2 linked regions of the Nothobranchius furzeri genome follow. The protein of the gene in region 2 purifies or fractionates together with the protein of the main gene of each other region. This does not show direct contact. Links are inferred from orthologs where the notes say so. Each region holds a gene or a part of one and is shown on either strand. Other genes may lie near its edges.

Evidence for each region.
Region 1: the proteins of fbl (region 2) and snu13b purify together in Homo sapiens (affinity purification with mass spectrometry; 5 studies listed by BioGRID and IntAct, with this or other methods). This does not show direct contact. The link is inferred for Nothobranchius furzeri from reciprocal best matches to the Homo sapiens genes FBL and SNU13.

Annotation. Positions count from the first base shown.
Region 1 is NC_091756.1:29,117,443-29,125,304, reverse strand, and holds snu13b (NHP2-like protein 1), read right to left. Parts: upstream 4,895-7,862; 5' UTR 4,717-4,894; coding exon 4,714-4,716; intron 4,552-4,713; coding exon 4,431-4,551; intron 1,386-4,430; coding exon 1,123-1,385; 3' UTR 933-1,122; downstream 1-932. Other genes in the region: uqcrc2b (cytochrome b-c1 complex subunit 2, mitochondrial), read left to right, coding at 5,613-5,645, 6,692-6,760, 7,024-7,173, 7,349-7,413, 7,500-7,556.
Region 2 is NC_091745.1:58,449,259-58,457,031, reverse strand, and holds the start of fbl (rRNA 2'-O-methyltransferase fibrillarin), read right to left. Parts: upstream 5,039-7,773; 5' UTR 4,919-5,038; coding exon 4,909-4,918; intron 4,121-4,908; coding exon 4,010-4,120; intron 3,641-4,009; coding exon 3,497-3,640; intron 1,393-3,496; coding exon 1,298-1,392; intron 1,219-1,297; coding exon 1,048-1,218; intron 1-1,047.

The sequences.
Region 1 (7,862 bases), on a different chromosome or scaffold from region 2:
GTCATGTGTATTCTGTAAATCATGTTACGTTGATGACAACTATAGGCCATAAAATGTGATTTGATTTCTTTTGTCACATTTCCTATAAGCAGACTAAAAATCTACAGCTGAGAACCTTTACTTATTACACTCATATCTTCATATGCACGTCTACAATATACGATATCCACAAGCATGTGAGGACGTTTCAGCATCTAACAGGCACCAGAATTAAAATAAAAAATGAAACAAGTATGAACGCAAACGTGGTATCGTCATCCATCATCACCCGCAAGCTACATGCAGGGAAATCTGTCCGACTTAAACGCCGGCTTCCAGCCACTCCCCCTGCTGCTTTCCAGACGAGGCGCTGCTCAGCTCGAACAAGGGCATTTTTTTCGTGACTCAAGGTGGTACCATTTCTTAAAGTGACATAAACATTGCTAACCTACAGACATATTTTCATTTTTTCAATTATAGTAGGAGTCACCGCTCGTCTAGGAAAGGAGCTGGATCAAAAAGTGGAAAAAACAAAATAAGAATCCGCACATTTCTATCTGCGATGTAAGAGTTTATTGGTCAAGCTTTCGGTCAGAGACCTCTTACATCGCAGATTGAAGTGTGCGGATTCTTATTTTCTTTTTTTCATTTTTTTAATTATCAAATGTATTGAAATGTGAAAAATTATCTCGTTAAGTCAGAAATTTCAATGACGATAAATTTTTGATTTATTGCCCTAGATAGCCCCAAATAAATCATTTCACATGTCGGCAGCCAACCTAATACTACACTACACTACAATCTCCATACACTAAATGTTACCTTGGTGTTCCTGTTCCATATTCAACCTTTAGGTTTTCTCACATTTCTGCTAAATTATGTAGAAAATCAGATTTTGCTGCACAGTACTAAAACTCTTAAACTGATGTTTCACAAGGCTGCTCACAGTCAAATAAAGATTTAAAAAGAATGACTTTATTAAACAGGTGATGGCTGTGCAAAGTGAAAACTAAAATCAACTTAAAAAAGCAAACAAAATATCCATTTGATTAGCACTTTTTTTTTCTTTTACCAAACATAAAATAAGATGGAATTGTGGATGCATCAACCCAGCTGAGCTGCTGTTGAAACAGTGCTTAGAAATCACACCAGCAGTCTCTCAATAGCCATCTGAACAGACTGAATCTGTGGCTTGAGCTGAGAGCCCTCCTTTATGGTGACAGAGGTAGCAATGACGGGGCGCGACACCCCACAGGCTCGGCCCAGCGCCTGCTTGGAGCGGACAAACACATACGGCACGTTCTTGTCCTCGCAGAGAAGTGGCAGGTGGAGGATGATCTCCAGCGGTTCAGCGTCAGCAGCCATGACTATAAACTCAGCAATGCCTCGGTTTAAAGTCTTAGTGGCTGAGGAAACAAAAGAAATACATTAATGTGTGTAAATCAAGACTACAGAGAAGTTAAGCTTATGGATGATTTATCTTTTAGTAGGAATGTAAGAAAATATCGAAATAGCAATATATCACAATATTTTTTCCTGTGATATTATATCGATGTTCAAAAGCTGTGTATCGATTTTTTTTGGAAGAATTTACGTGCAAACATTTATGTATTTTCTTTTCTTTTGGTGCAAATCAAATGCCGTCCGCTAGTCAGCAGTAGTGTGAATGGAGTTTGTTTCCACCACTGAAATGTAAATCCCTCTATTTTGGTTCAGATACCTCATGTTAATCATGTTAAGTATCAGTTTGGGCCATTTATTGAATTTTCCTACAATAATTTTAGTCTAAAAAAATCGCTAATATTTTCCGGCTGAATATATCGCAATATATCGTGATATATTGTCTCCCCTGTATCGTGATAAGTATCGTATCGCCAGAATTTCACCAATACACATCCCTATCTTTTAGCATTTGTATATGCAGAATTGTTTAAAAACAACCCAAAAGCCACATATTTGAGAAATATGGCATTATTTTAGTAGACTGCGTTTGATAATGTAAAATACTAAAATGACATTGTAAGTCTTAAAGGCTGCCCTTTGTCACCCGTTCTGTTCATAACTTTTGTGGACAAGATTTCTAGGCGCAGCCAAGGTGTGGAGGAGATCTGTTTTGGTGGCCGAAGGATTGAGTCTCCGTTTTTTGCAGATGATGTGGTCCTGTTAGTTTCATCAGAACGTGATGTCCAGCTTTCACTGGAGCAGTCTGCAGCAGAGTTTGAAGCAGCTGGGATAAGAATCAGCTCCTCTATGTCAGCGACCATGGTCTTGAGTCGGAAGAGGGTAGAATGCCTTCTCCGGGTCAGGGATGAGGTCCTCTCTCAAGTACAGGAGTTTAAGTGTCTCTGGGTCTTGTTCACGAGTGAGCATGAGGTCGACATGTGGATTGGTGATGCATCTGCAGTAGGGCTGGGCAATATGGCCTAAAATCAATATCACGATGAGGATTTCACCTCGATAACGATAAACGGACGATAACTACAGGAATGCGCAGAAACAAAAGTTGTCCACTAGATGGGGCTGTCACATGTTTTACATTGAGTCATACTTTTACGAGGTGGTACAGCTTCTTAAAGGGACATGAACGTTGACAACCTACACACATCTTGACATGGGAAAATTATCTCGATAAGTCAGAAAATTTGATAACGATACATTTTCGATTTATTGCCCAGCCCTAGTCTGCAGAGATGCGGACATTGTACCGTCTGCCATGGTGAGAAGAGAGCTGAGCCATAAGGCGAAGCTTTCGATTTACGTTCCTACCCTCACCTATGGTCACCAGCTTTGGGTATTGACCCAAAGAATGAGATTGTGGATACAAGCAGCCAAAATGAGTTTTTTCCACTAGGTGTCTGGGCTCTCCCTTAGAGATAGGGTGAGAAGCTTGGTCATACAGGAGGGGCTCGGAGTAGATCCGCTGCTCCTCCACATTGAGAGAAGCACGTCCAATTGGGAGGAGACTTATGCCCAGAACACACCAGCTGCGAAGAACCGCGGAGTGGATTGCTCACAAAATTTGTGCGCTCTCCGCTCCTCTTCTGGTCACATCAGGCGAGAATTTTCAACGAGCACTTCTGCTCACGCCTACTGTTTTCTAAACATGCCCTTGCTCTGTGTGTGTGTGTGTGTGTAACCAGTTTGCCTTGCTTGTTGATATTGGACACTGTGCTGATTCTGCTGCTGTGCATTTGTTTGTATTCACATTTATTAAATCCATCTTTTGCTGTAAACACTGAATTTTAAATTATGGTAACACTACGTTTTTCTGCAGGTGTGTGTTTGTTCCTTTTCATCTCTCTAGTCTATTTAGATACACAAACATGATCACTTTTATCAATTGCAGTGTTTTATTGTGAATTTTTTTTTTGTTAAATTTACCAGCCTGCCTCTTCTGCTTTAGTTTACTTCCTGCCAGAATTGTTCACTCACGGCTCACGTAAAAATAGAGCTCACGCCAAAATGATCGCTGCACGGAGCGAGCCTTTGTGGCGCTTCCCAGCTGATGTGACTGAGAGCATAGGTTAACAGGGACAAAGCGCCCGTCGTTCAACAGCGCTTCCTTGCTACTGTATTATCTGGGTGCCTCGCCTCTGACAGTGCACCCAGGGCAGCTGCGGCTACATCGTAGCTAATCACCATCAGTGTGTGAATGTGTGTGTTAATGGATGAATTACACACTGTAGAGTAAAGCGCTTTGGAGTCCTTACTCTGAGAGGCGCTACACAAGTGCGGGTCATTTATCATTATCATTTGAACTAGATTAGAACCAATTCCCTTTCAGCCAGACTAACGCGTTATATGCATTTTAAAAAACTACAGAAGTCTTTTTAGGGCAATACTTTGGTTCTCTAGTGTGCATGTTAAGGCACTGTATATGTCATGGCTGACCAGGGGAGACCTTGGGATTCTGCGGGAGGAGCTGGCCCAAGTGGCTGAGGAGAGGGAAGTATAAGCCTCTCGACGTAGACTGCAGCTGCCGTGACACGACCCCGGATAAACTGAAGAAAATAGATGGATTGGTCTTAATGCGCCATTCTAATTTTTGATAATGCAGCTGCCATCAGCCTCCAGTGAGGCAAGTGTACAGCGCTGCAGACACGCACATGTAAAGAAGAGCTTCCTGCTTCCTCTGCCGCAGGATAGGAACATCTGTCACATGTCGATGTAAAATTCAGATTTAAAGTATTACATATGAAAGGGACCCAGGTCTAACTTGATAATTATGACGAATATGTGTTGTGAACGTCATTAAAAGCAGATGTGGGTCATAAAAAGCAGAAGTGGGTCACATCTGAGAAAGAAATTCTGGTTCGACCATTGAGTCAGCAGTGAGAACACGGCCTATGATCCAATAATTACATGTAAAAGCAAAATTTTCACCTTCTACGTTTGTTTCGTTACAAATTCTGTTATAAATGTTGAGTAAAATAGCCGAATAGTTTCCACACCTTCGTTAGCTCCCTTCCTCAGCTGCTTGTAGTTGGAGGCTTGCTGCACCAGGTCCAGGATGGTTTTGGTCAGGGTGGCGTCGGCCAGAGGGTAGGCCTTTGGGTTCACTTGGGGCTCACTCTGGTCACAAAAATGAGAAGGTTCAAAATAAGCTTCAACAGAACAAACCAGCTTTAACAAAAATCACATTATCTTATTTTAAGAAAGCGCACAACCGTGTGTTCTTATTCATGCTACATGCAAGCCCGTCTGTTAGCCTATTAGCTCTTACACTAAGCTCACCATTTTTGTAATCCGGCCCTCTCGGCGAAATGCTTCACGGAGGACTATTTGATTTGTCTTCAGAATATAAATACAATCGAAACGTGAATTATTCTTGTTTCATTCGAGTTTTAATAGCGCCACAAAACGACTATTATCTGCAGCATGCACTAGATCCAAACGTTGACCCCACGTGTGTGATGGTCGTCAGGCTGCACATGCGCACAGGGAATGTAATTTTTTCAAAACAAACTTTATTAACAAACAACATGAACAAACTGAAAAATACTTTCTAAAGTTCAAATAAAGTTATTTTAAAACAGCTTTCGAGTGTGTATCATGGTGTGTATTGCTTTATGACACTGTAAATGTCGAGGGGATATCTTATAAACCTTTAATAAAAAAAACAAAAATATGAAAGAAGGTTTAGACTTTTTATCTTTGAACCCGTTTTCGTTTTAAACCTGAGGCGTTTGTGGGCTTTCATGAAGTCGTTTTTTTTTCTAAATTGTGGACTGTGACTATTAGTTGTGGGAAAATGCTTTATAAAGATGATGATGATGATGATGATGATGATGATGATGATGATGATGATGATGATGATGATGATGGAAAGTTAATTATAGAATTACTAATTATGTAAATGCAAAATATTAATCAGTGTCACGATCTAATCAGATTTAATTTGCCAATTATTTTCCACACACAATCAATTTGATTCATATTTCCCATTTGCTGTTCTCGAACTCTTTGTTTTTTGTGATTTTAGATCTGGAAAAATTGTTGATGCAGTTTATTTGTTGGTCTGAAGAGGGCGCGCGGTTTATGCAAGCTAGAGATGAACGCGCTATGCATTCTGGGTAGGGCACTTTCCATTCAGCCATATTGTATCGTTGTCCTGGCTGAAGGAGACAGGAGAGATGAAGGGGATTCGGGGAATCAGTCAGTTAACGGTGAGAGCTGACTTTATTTGTTCTGAAAGTTTGCGTGACGGGATCAGTGTTCCCATCCCATCCAGTCGCTGTCACTAACTGTCTTTGGGTGGTTTTAAACCATACCTGTCTTGTCTTGGAACAAGCAGCCGGCTAAGCTTGACATGACTGTTTAATCTGAAAACTTGATGTGACCAAGAATAACTATTTTTCTAGACATGTATGTATATGATCATGAATTAATCTCCACTGTGTTAGGCTCTAATGACTGACTCCTCAATTGTTTAAATGTAAGATAATTAACAACTAGCAGCTAGCTAGGCTAGTTAGCATACCAGAGGGTACGTAGTAGCTTTAGCATTTTTCAGAAGGCTTAACTCTAGGTGTGTGTATCTCACTCAAATACATATCTGGATCGGTGAATGAAGACTAAAATTATCAAGTGATTTTCATTTGGAAAGAAACCTTCAATCTTTGTACGACAAAAGCACATTTTAAAACATGCAATTAACAAAAAGGAAATCCCAACTGTTCATTCACTCGGGGACACACAAAACACACACTTATTCAGGGTGGGTTATCTCTCTTTAAAGTTGGTTCAATGTGAAATTAAAGATGGACAGTCATTGGTGCCTTAAAAGATTTACCAGCATCAGTGGCTGTCTCCTGATGTCCATCGTCTACTGGTTTGGATTATAATCTGGCAATGAGGAATCTGATAATGATAAATCTAAAGCGTGTTTTCTATAAACTGATTGTATTTCAACAGTAAATACAACTAGTTTTTGTACAATAACCCGTAAATATGTGATAAAGATGCAAATTAATTGTTTAGAGCAGTTATAGATTGTGAATTGTCATCAACATAAGGTGCTTTAAAACATTGAAATGTCACCTTGAAGATGCTTGCATTTGATTTTGGTAAATGTAGAGGAACCTTGGTCCTGTGTTTGTACAGTATAATATTACCCTTGAAGAGGTGAACACTCCTTGTTAAAACTCATTTCTAGTGCCCTTGCTTCAAAGCAGCATGGCTTTAGTTGTTTTGTTGTGTTGTGTTTCTCCAGACGAGGCTGTATGCAGCCCAGGCAGCCCGTAAGGTGGAAGCCACTGGGTTTCAGCCACAAGATGTTCAGGTGAGTAGCTGATGTAGGTTTAGGTGTGATGGTATAAACTAATCTGTTTATTTTCTGCTTTAACCGTTTACCTATTTTTTATTTATTTATTTATTTTTTGTCCAGCTGCATGTAATTAAACTGGGGTCTCATTCATTAAACATTTGTAGAAATATTCCTATATTCCTTCCTTCGGTTGATAAATGAGGTCCCTGGATCTTGGACAAGCCTTTCATGCTGATTGTCTGTTGTGTGACGCCGCTCACACGTGTGTTTATGTCCAGGTAACCAAACTGCCCAGTGGGCTGGTGATTGCATCACTTGAGAATTATTCCCCAGCCTCAAAAATTGGTGTCTTTGTTAAAGCCGGCTGTCGCTATGAGACCTCTGACAACCTGGGCGTCACCCACCTCCTCAGGCTGGCCTCCAATCTGGTACGACAGTTCAGTACAGCTTACAGTAGTTGTTGTCCTCATCAGCCTTCTGGGCTGCAAAATCTTTATTATTATTAAGAAATGTAACATTTAAGCCTTTTTAATTCTCTCCTGTATTTTAAGACTTTGACATTTGTCTCGTTTTGATAGCAGTCTGCTTTTTTTCATTTTACAGACAACCAAGGGAGCATCTGCGTTCAAAATCTGCCATGCTATCGAGGCAGTTGGAGGCAGCATGAGGTCAGAAATGACCTCCTAAAAACTGATGTAGAAAAGTTGAGGCTTTCACAAGTGCTCACTGTGAATATTTTCATGTTTCTGTGCAGCGTGACTTCGTCCAGAGAGAATATGGTGTACACTGTGGACTGCTTGAGAGACGACATGTAAGTGCTTAAACAGGCACTTGTGATGGGAATGGCTATATTTTTAAAATGTAACTGGTAAATGGCTGCATGGCGGCGCCGTTGTTAGCACTGTTGCCTCGCAGCACGAAGGTTGCAGGTTTGAAACTCGGCTGCAGCCTTTCTGCGTGGAGTTGCGTGTTCTCCCCATGCATGCGTGGGTTTCCTCCGGGTACTCCAGTTTCCCCCACAGATCACAACATGCTCTATAGGTTATAAATTGTAAGTCGCTTTGGATAAAAGCGTCTGCTAAATGAATAAACATAATAATAATAAACTTAATAGTAA
Region 2 (7,773 bases):
GCATTTAGCAGAGCAAGATCAAACCCAGAATGAAGAATGATTTATGATTTTTGTCCATGTCGTGCCACTTTTGTGCTAAAATATTTAATATGCTCAAGTCATCATCAAGTCAATAGATGCAAGTAGATTCAAGTCGCAAGTCACTGGTGTTCAAGTCTGAGTCAAGTTGTAAGTCTTTATAGATTTTATCAAGTCAAGTCAGAAGTCATTAAAATAATGACTCGAGTCCAAGTCATGTGACTTGAGTCCACACCTCTGCACTCTTGCATTAACTGGAGTGTGTGACACACACTGTACCTGCAGGCTACTGAGCCGTCAGACTGCAGGAGCGTGCGTGTGTAAATTCTTGCCGTTTGTATCATCATTGTGTTTTACAGGGAGTCAAAATTCTCCCATACATGCAACCTAAATGATGCAGGAGGTATTTCAAGCTCCTCTCCTCTTCAAGCGTTTCTCCTTTAAATGGAACAGGTAGTGCCTCCGCCCTTCACGTGGCCGATCTGCGAACCGCGCCCAACCGTAGAGCGAGATCTGAACGGATTGCGGATCAATGTTGGTTGCACCCCCAGGGCACGGCCACGATGTATCCCAAACGTGTGGACACAGGGGGAGGTGAACGCCGGTAAAAATGACAAACAAAGCTTGGGCACCACCCGGGCGGTAAGTCGTCAATTATTTACTGCTCGACAAGAACATTTACCGCCAATGGCGCTCAGGCAGTTAAAAGTTTCCACACCTGCAAATGTAGAGAAAATGTGAGATAATGCTCATGTGTGCTGCAGGAAAACTTTTCTTGATTGTTAGCTCTGCGATGTTCTCTGTGCGTAACGTGCTACAAACTTACTCGAGGCCAAATAAACAAATCACCTCTTGTAAAAAAAACAACTAATGGCTCAAGCCATCGTCGATGGTCGAATAATTCGTCCCATCGCCCAACCCTAGTGCACACATAAATACATTTTGGTCAAGGTCTGTATTTGACAACTGTTGTAAACACACACACACACAACACACCATTAGTTGCGTCGCACTGAGTGTTGAACTTACCGGACCTACGATGTCAGACACGTGAGACACAGTGGTACCAGAGGCAGCGCCCAGATACATGACCTTGGCTCCAGGTTTGATATGGATCTGGTCAATTCCTCCCAAGATGGCAGCAGCCAACTTTGAGCGGAAAGGATTCCATGCTCTGTACTCAATCTTCGTCTCCCCTTCCTAAAGGATGGACACCCAGCCGTTATCATTGTAAGGAAAAGCGATTAGTGATGCAATCCAGACAAAACTTCTCTCTCACCTCCACACTCATCCTCTTCTCCCCATAGACAGACTCTCCTACAACCATATTCTTGGTCACCAGAGCATCCTCCTTCCCTCGGCAGATAAACACTCCTGACAAAAAACACACAAGTTAGAGCTCAAACACTCTCTAGCTTACTCGCTCCACATACAACAGCTACTGTTGTGGTGAATCATTTCAGCAAGGGAAGGGCCCAACATGCTACCAGCATTAGCCAACTACCTAGGGCGTTTCTCAATTAGGGTTGTCACGGTAACCGGTGTAGCGGTAAACCCCGGTAAAAAAAGTTGGCAATAATAATAACCGTCTTGTTTTTTAAAAAGTATATTATCTCGGTGGATTACCGTGGCTGCGGTGTAGGTGCGGTGACCCTTACCAGCCACCGTATCATCTGCTGATGTTGCCGGCGGCACATGCGCGCTTTGTTGTCTACAACCAAAACTTTCTTGAAGCTAAAGCTGAAATAATGGCCAAAGGAGGAGACGGCAGTGCTCAGGACATTTATTATCCCTCAAAGAAGACAAAGTGGGAAGTACGGGCATTTTTTTGATATTTGAAGAATGCCGAGGGACAGTTGATAGAAGACGGCTATCCTGTTTGCAGCACGTGCAGAAAAAGTGTCTGTGAAAGGCAGCAACGCTTCAAATCTCATGACACATCTGCGTGACCATCACCCACAACTCTACAGTCAACGTAAGGCAAGCTAACGTTAGCGTTTTAGCTAAAATGCGTGATCCGAGGATTTGGGTTGAGGGAGAATGCAACGAGTCGCTATATAAAGCAGCCGCAGTGCCGCTACCTGCATATAAACCGTGTCGCGGACACCGCCATGTTGAAATAATGCTATGCATTACGGGGCTCCCAGGGGCAGATAAGAGTTGGTCTCTCTCCGAGGCGTTGCTGCCTTTCACAGACACTTTTTCTGCACGTGCTGCAAACAGGATAGCCATCCGTCTTCTATAAACTCCCTCGGCATTCTTCAAATATCTAAAATATGCCCGTACTTCCGACTTTGCGTTCTTTGAGGGATAATAAATGTCCTCCTGAGCGCTGCCGTCTCCTCCTTTGGCCATTATTTCAGCTTTAGCTTCAAGAAAGTTTTGGTTGTAAACAGCAAAGCGCGCATGTGCCGCCGGCAACTTCAGCCGATGATACGGTGGCTGGTAAGGGTCACCGCGCCTACACCGCAGCTACGGTAAACCCACCAAGATAATATAGTTTTTTAAAAAACAAGACGGTTATTATTGTCAACTTTTTTTTAACCGGGGTTTAATGCTACACTGGTTACCGTGATATCCCTACGGCTGATCGGTCTGCTTTGATCTATTTTGAAAATTCCGATCAAAACCGATAGGGGCGCTATCGGCCGATTACGATCAAATGCCGATCTATCGGTGCATCCCTACTGCCCACAATAAAAGGACACCCTGCCATGTGCAGTTTGATCAAACAAAACAACGCCACCGATGTCACAACCCTTGAGGGAGCGAGCAATTGGAATGCTGACTGCAGGAATGTCTACTAGAGCTGTTTCCCATGAAGTGAATGTCCACTTCTCTACCATAAGCCGCCTCCAAAGACATTTCACCTGCAGTCACATGATGCAAGTCTGTTCTATTTAACCATTTTCTTTGACCAAAGAAGGACTGTGTCCTCGTAAGCAAAGGCGTCTGCCCTAGCCAGACATCGCCTTTCGAGGCCAGGCGCCTTGACATCAAGAAACACCCCTTATGGTTCTACATGGAGAAGCCGGCTCAGTCTTCTCTGCAGGCAAGGATTTGGCCACACGATGGGTTTTACAACTTTCTAGGTAAGAATGGAAGTCAAGTACTTCTGGAATTCACATCTAAAACCATTACCCATAGCTTAAAGAGGAGCCGTGGCTGCTGCTACTCATTCCTGCACACACTCCACCACTAGACTAAACATACAGCCAATTCTCAACGGGCAAAACAGATAAGTAAATGTATAGCTATGATCCTACAGCACTGAACAAAGCTGAAGCTGGTTTCCATTTCTAGCTCCTGATTCAGAAAACTGATTTTTAGGACACCCTGAGCCTCATTTACCCTGCTCTAATTTTAAAACTACAATCCTTAGTTTTCACATCTGGACTAGGTCATTCTAGACCAGCAATCGCTAACTAACGTGCAAGATAAATATTGGATTGTTCGATCACAAAGCAGAAATACAAACCTTCGTGTCTGTGTGGCTCAATCAAGACCTTCTTCCCTCCTCCAAAGCCCCTGCCACCACCCCTACCTCCTCTTCCTCTAGGAGTGCCTCGGCCGCCTCCTCTCCCTCTAAATCCTCCACCATCAGGGGACCGAAACCCCCCACCTGAAAAACAAAATGTCTCATTGGAATCTGTGCTGCATTTATGAGTAGGAAATACGTTTAACATCAACTATCACTGAGGTGAATTATTTTGTCAAAACATTTTTGTGGACTAAATGAAGCAAAAAATCTTGGATAAATGACTAAATTGATCAGACATTTTTGAACAAATAAAAGATTATATTAAAGATGGCGAGGACAAAAACCCATTCAAAAGACGGGAAAGATGCGAGTAACAGACATAAGACCACTCAGACTAGGTGAGAGAACCAATCAGAGCCCGCCTACTGAGGTGAAGAGGAGCTAGCTTCTGTTTAAACAAGCTCACAGGTGTTAAAATTAACACATTTGTGCCTTCGACAGCATCCTCACCTCTTCCTCCACGTCCTCCACGATCACCAAACCCCCCACGTCCTCCACGATCACCAAAACCCCCTCGTCCTCGTCCCCCACCTCCTCTTCCTCCTCTGTCCCCACGAAAACCTTAAACAGAAGGACACATCAGACACATTTAAACAGGAGACAGTGGTCTCTAAATGATGTCATTGTACTTTTATATGGGCCAATAGTACTTGTTTACTTGTCACTGACAGTAAAGCAATCATCTCCCTCTGAGGACAACTTGTTTTTTTCTGGAAATAAATCTTTAAAAGTTTATCTCAAAAAGACCAATTAAAATATTTTACCCAGAGAGGTTTTTAAACTATTGATTTATGTTTTCTAAACTTAAAAATCCATAAATCTGAACTTTACTTTAACCTTTGTAACAGCAAAAACTCAACTCTGCTGCAAAGGAACCTCTAGATGAGGAAAGTGGCTTCACCATTCAAGGGTTTAGGATTTAATGTTCTTCATGCTGATAAATATCAGCTTCCTCTGTTGGTGACGCGCTAGCCACACACACGAGTTGTACAGTTCGTGTTTTCTGAGTTGATGCACTAAAGTTTTACTTTCCTGTGTTTTGCTCGCGTACTTCGGTGAGTCCGTAGCACGTGCCTTAGCCGTTTACAACTAACAATGATAATATACGGTCTAATTGTTTGATCTAACAACACAGTTGTGTCTCTTGAGCTCACTTAAGATCCTAGCCATTCGTTTCTTAATGCTTGAACACTGAGAACGGTAACGTTCCATGATAATGTTCCCGGACATGCAGGGCGCTGTAGCCAGACACACACACACACACGATCCAAACCAGGCCCGTAAAGACAAATAAAAACCATGAGTTGAACAAGTCCAACTCGTCATTGTAACAAGCACGGGTACTCTACCTGGTCTCATGTTGCCCAGAAAACAGCCTTAACCCGATCAAAAATTAAGATTCTTATGTTTTTCTCCCGAATGCAGCGTTCAGATCAAGCAGCGTGCGTACGTGCACATGCTCAAAACGTGTTTTCTACTTTGCGGTTTTATGGCAGTCCGCCTAAAACTGTACGTGCACTAACTCCACCTAGCGGTCTGGAGGGTGACCGGCACCTTACCGCTTTGACAAAAACAACAAAAGAATAAGTGTTTCTAGTGATCTTGTACGGCCATTGGTGGGCAAACTGGTGAAACATTGACCCACTATGAGACTGGTTTAGGTTCAAGAGACTGGTTTAGGTTCAAAAACATACTGATGAAAAATATATGAAAATCTGGAATCTGCAGCACCGAGGCACTTGACCTATTACTTGACCTGCCAACTACCGGTAACTTAAAAATGTTTTAGTTGCTTAAAAGCTGATGTACTGAAAAGTGTTAATTGCTGTCAGGTATTTTTATAAATCCTTGAAAACTGCTGTTAAGTCTCTTCTAGAAGAAAATTAGATCATTTAGTGTTGAATAACTACAGACCAATAATCTCCTCTTTGGGGAAATTACTGAAAAACAGTTATGATCCAGCTGAACAACTTTTTGGAGACAGAAAACTTGCTGGTTGGTTTCCAGTTCGACTTTAGACAACACTGCAGCACTGAGATGGCACTGATTAAGGATTTAAATGAGTTTGGTCTCAATACAGGATTCAGGCAAAACATCTGCTCTGGTGATGCTCCATCTGTGGACCACAACATCCTTCTTGATAGGCGTCGTGAGCACCTGCCCCTTTTGCTCGAAGTGTTCAAAGTTCCTTTTTTTCGGTCGTTCGTCAGATTTTACCATACACAACTCAGATGCTGTGTAGCAACTTGTGATGGGCAAGACTCAGTTTAGGCTTTGGTCCATTTCCATTTGGATAACACTAGCTACTCTGACCTAAGGCTCAAAATTGTACAAACACTGCATAGTCTAAGTAATTTTTAATTACTTAATTAATTACTTAATTAATTACTTAATTAATTCATTCATTCATTCAGTCAGTCAGTCAGTCAGTCAGTGTAGTGGCTTGGCCTTTAGGGGGCAGCAGAGCGTCAGCGCTGACGACCTGAAAAAGACACAAGCACGCGTAAAGCCCAGTTCCTGGTTGTTGCTCGTAGAGCTGCGCATGAAAACATCATGCTTCGTGCAGTTTTTTATCGAGCTTTTCTTCCCCTCAACCGACTGTCAGTCTGTCACTATAGCAGCGCCATCCCAGCGCCCAACAGCCAGCCTGAAGTCCACTACAACAGGGTAAGAGTTATCGGACAGGCTGGACACAAGCCTACTTGTTGCTCTAAATGCGTAGAAATGTCACGGAGCGGTGGCCCAACGTTTGTACCTTTAACTTGTCAAGAGTATAGATGTCGATGGTCAGGAGTCGGTGTTCAGTGCAGAGGGAATATTTCCATCGTAGAAGCACGAAAAAACGAGTCTGAAGATAGCTTCCGATTTCAGCTTCTTTTTTCTCTACTCTGACCATCTGCTCTAGCTGAAAAACTACAACAGCCACACTGTTATAGTAGAATAATCTAGAACAGGTTTGGACAGTGTGGCTGTTGTAGTTTTTGAGCTACAGCTGTTCCATTGTTGACCAGATGCTGAAAAAACGCATAAATCAGGCTTTGTTGAAGTTTCACAAATCAGGGAAAGGTTTTACAAATCCCAAACAAGGTTGTATGCCATCTGCTATTATTGTAGAATATTCAAGAACAGGTTTGAACAGTATGGCTGTTGTAGTTTTTCAGCTAGAGCAGAGTAGAGAAAAATTGGGTGTAATCGCCCTTTAGCCGTTTCCCAAATTGGAATCTGGAATCGGAAGCTAACTTCAGCCTCGTCACGAAAAATGTGTGTTTTATGAGGTCATTGGTCCAAACTCCACTACTGTTCAGAGCACAAACACGCTGCAGTTTGAAACAACACGTTAGCTTAAAGAAACATCTACACCAGGTTTCACGTGGTGGTTTAAACTTTTTTAACTGTTTGTTTAGCGAGTTCTTAGGTGTTGCCCCCAGAGGTGGATACAGTTATGTTGAGGTCCGAAGAGGTGAGGGGGACACCCACCTTTGACGTCACTGTGTGGTTTGTTATTTTATTAGTCAAGTTTTATTCAAAACCTCTCACACATGAATTGATCCTTGCATTGTTTTTATTAAGTCACACGTATCACCACACCGTTGGAAGGGACCTTTTGTGGCTTCCGGATCTTGCGGACACAACTACTGTCTTTGGGATGTGTCCAGCCCCCATGGCCCTCCATGGCTGTAGCCTACTGACCCAGAGTGAGACCAGGGCTTCTCAACCTGGATCCGCTGTCCCACATGTTTTCAATGTCTCTTCTTCAGTGCACCTGAAGTTTGCATTATCTTCTCCGAATGACATCAATAGCTTTTAAGCAAAGCTTGTCAAGTCGGGTGTGTGGCAGCAGGGAAATACCTAGAACATACAGGCGACGAACCCCTGATTTAGAGGCTCAGGAACTCTTTGCAAGTGTTTGACTTAATTTGCTGAGTAGGGTGGGACACCAAGAGTTTCCAGTATTTTGCTTTTTCTCAATATTTTAGTTTTCTGAAACACAGAATTTTGGTATGTCCTGTGTAACCGTAATCATAGGGCTGGGGGTAAACGATTATTTTTAAAACGATTATTCTGACAATTATTTTATCGACTAGTCGACAATTCGAATGACTACACAATTAATCTAATGATTATTTTTCTATTGCACAGTTAATAAAAACCAAAAAATCTCTAATAAATTCCTCAAAAAATTTGATTAATTGGTACTGTAAGAGAATAAACAC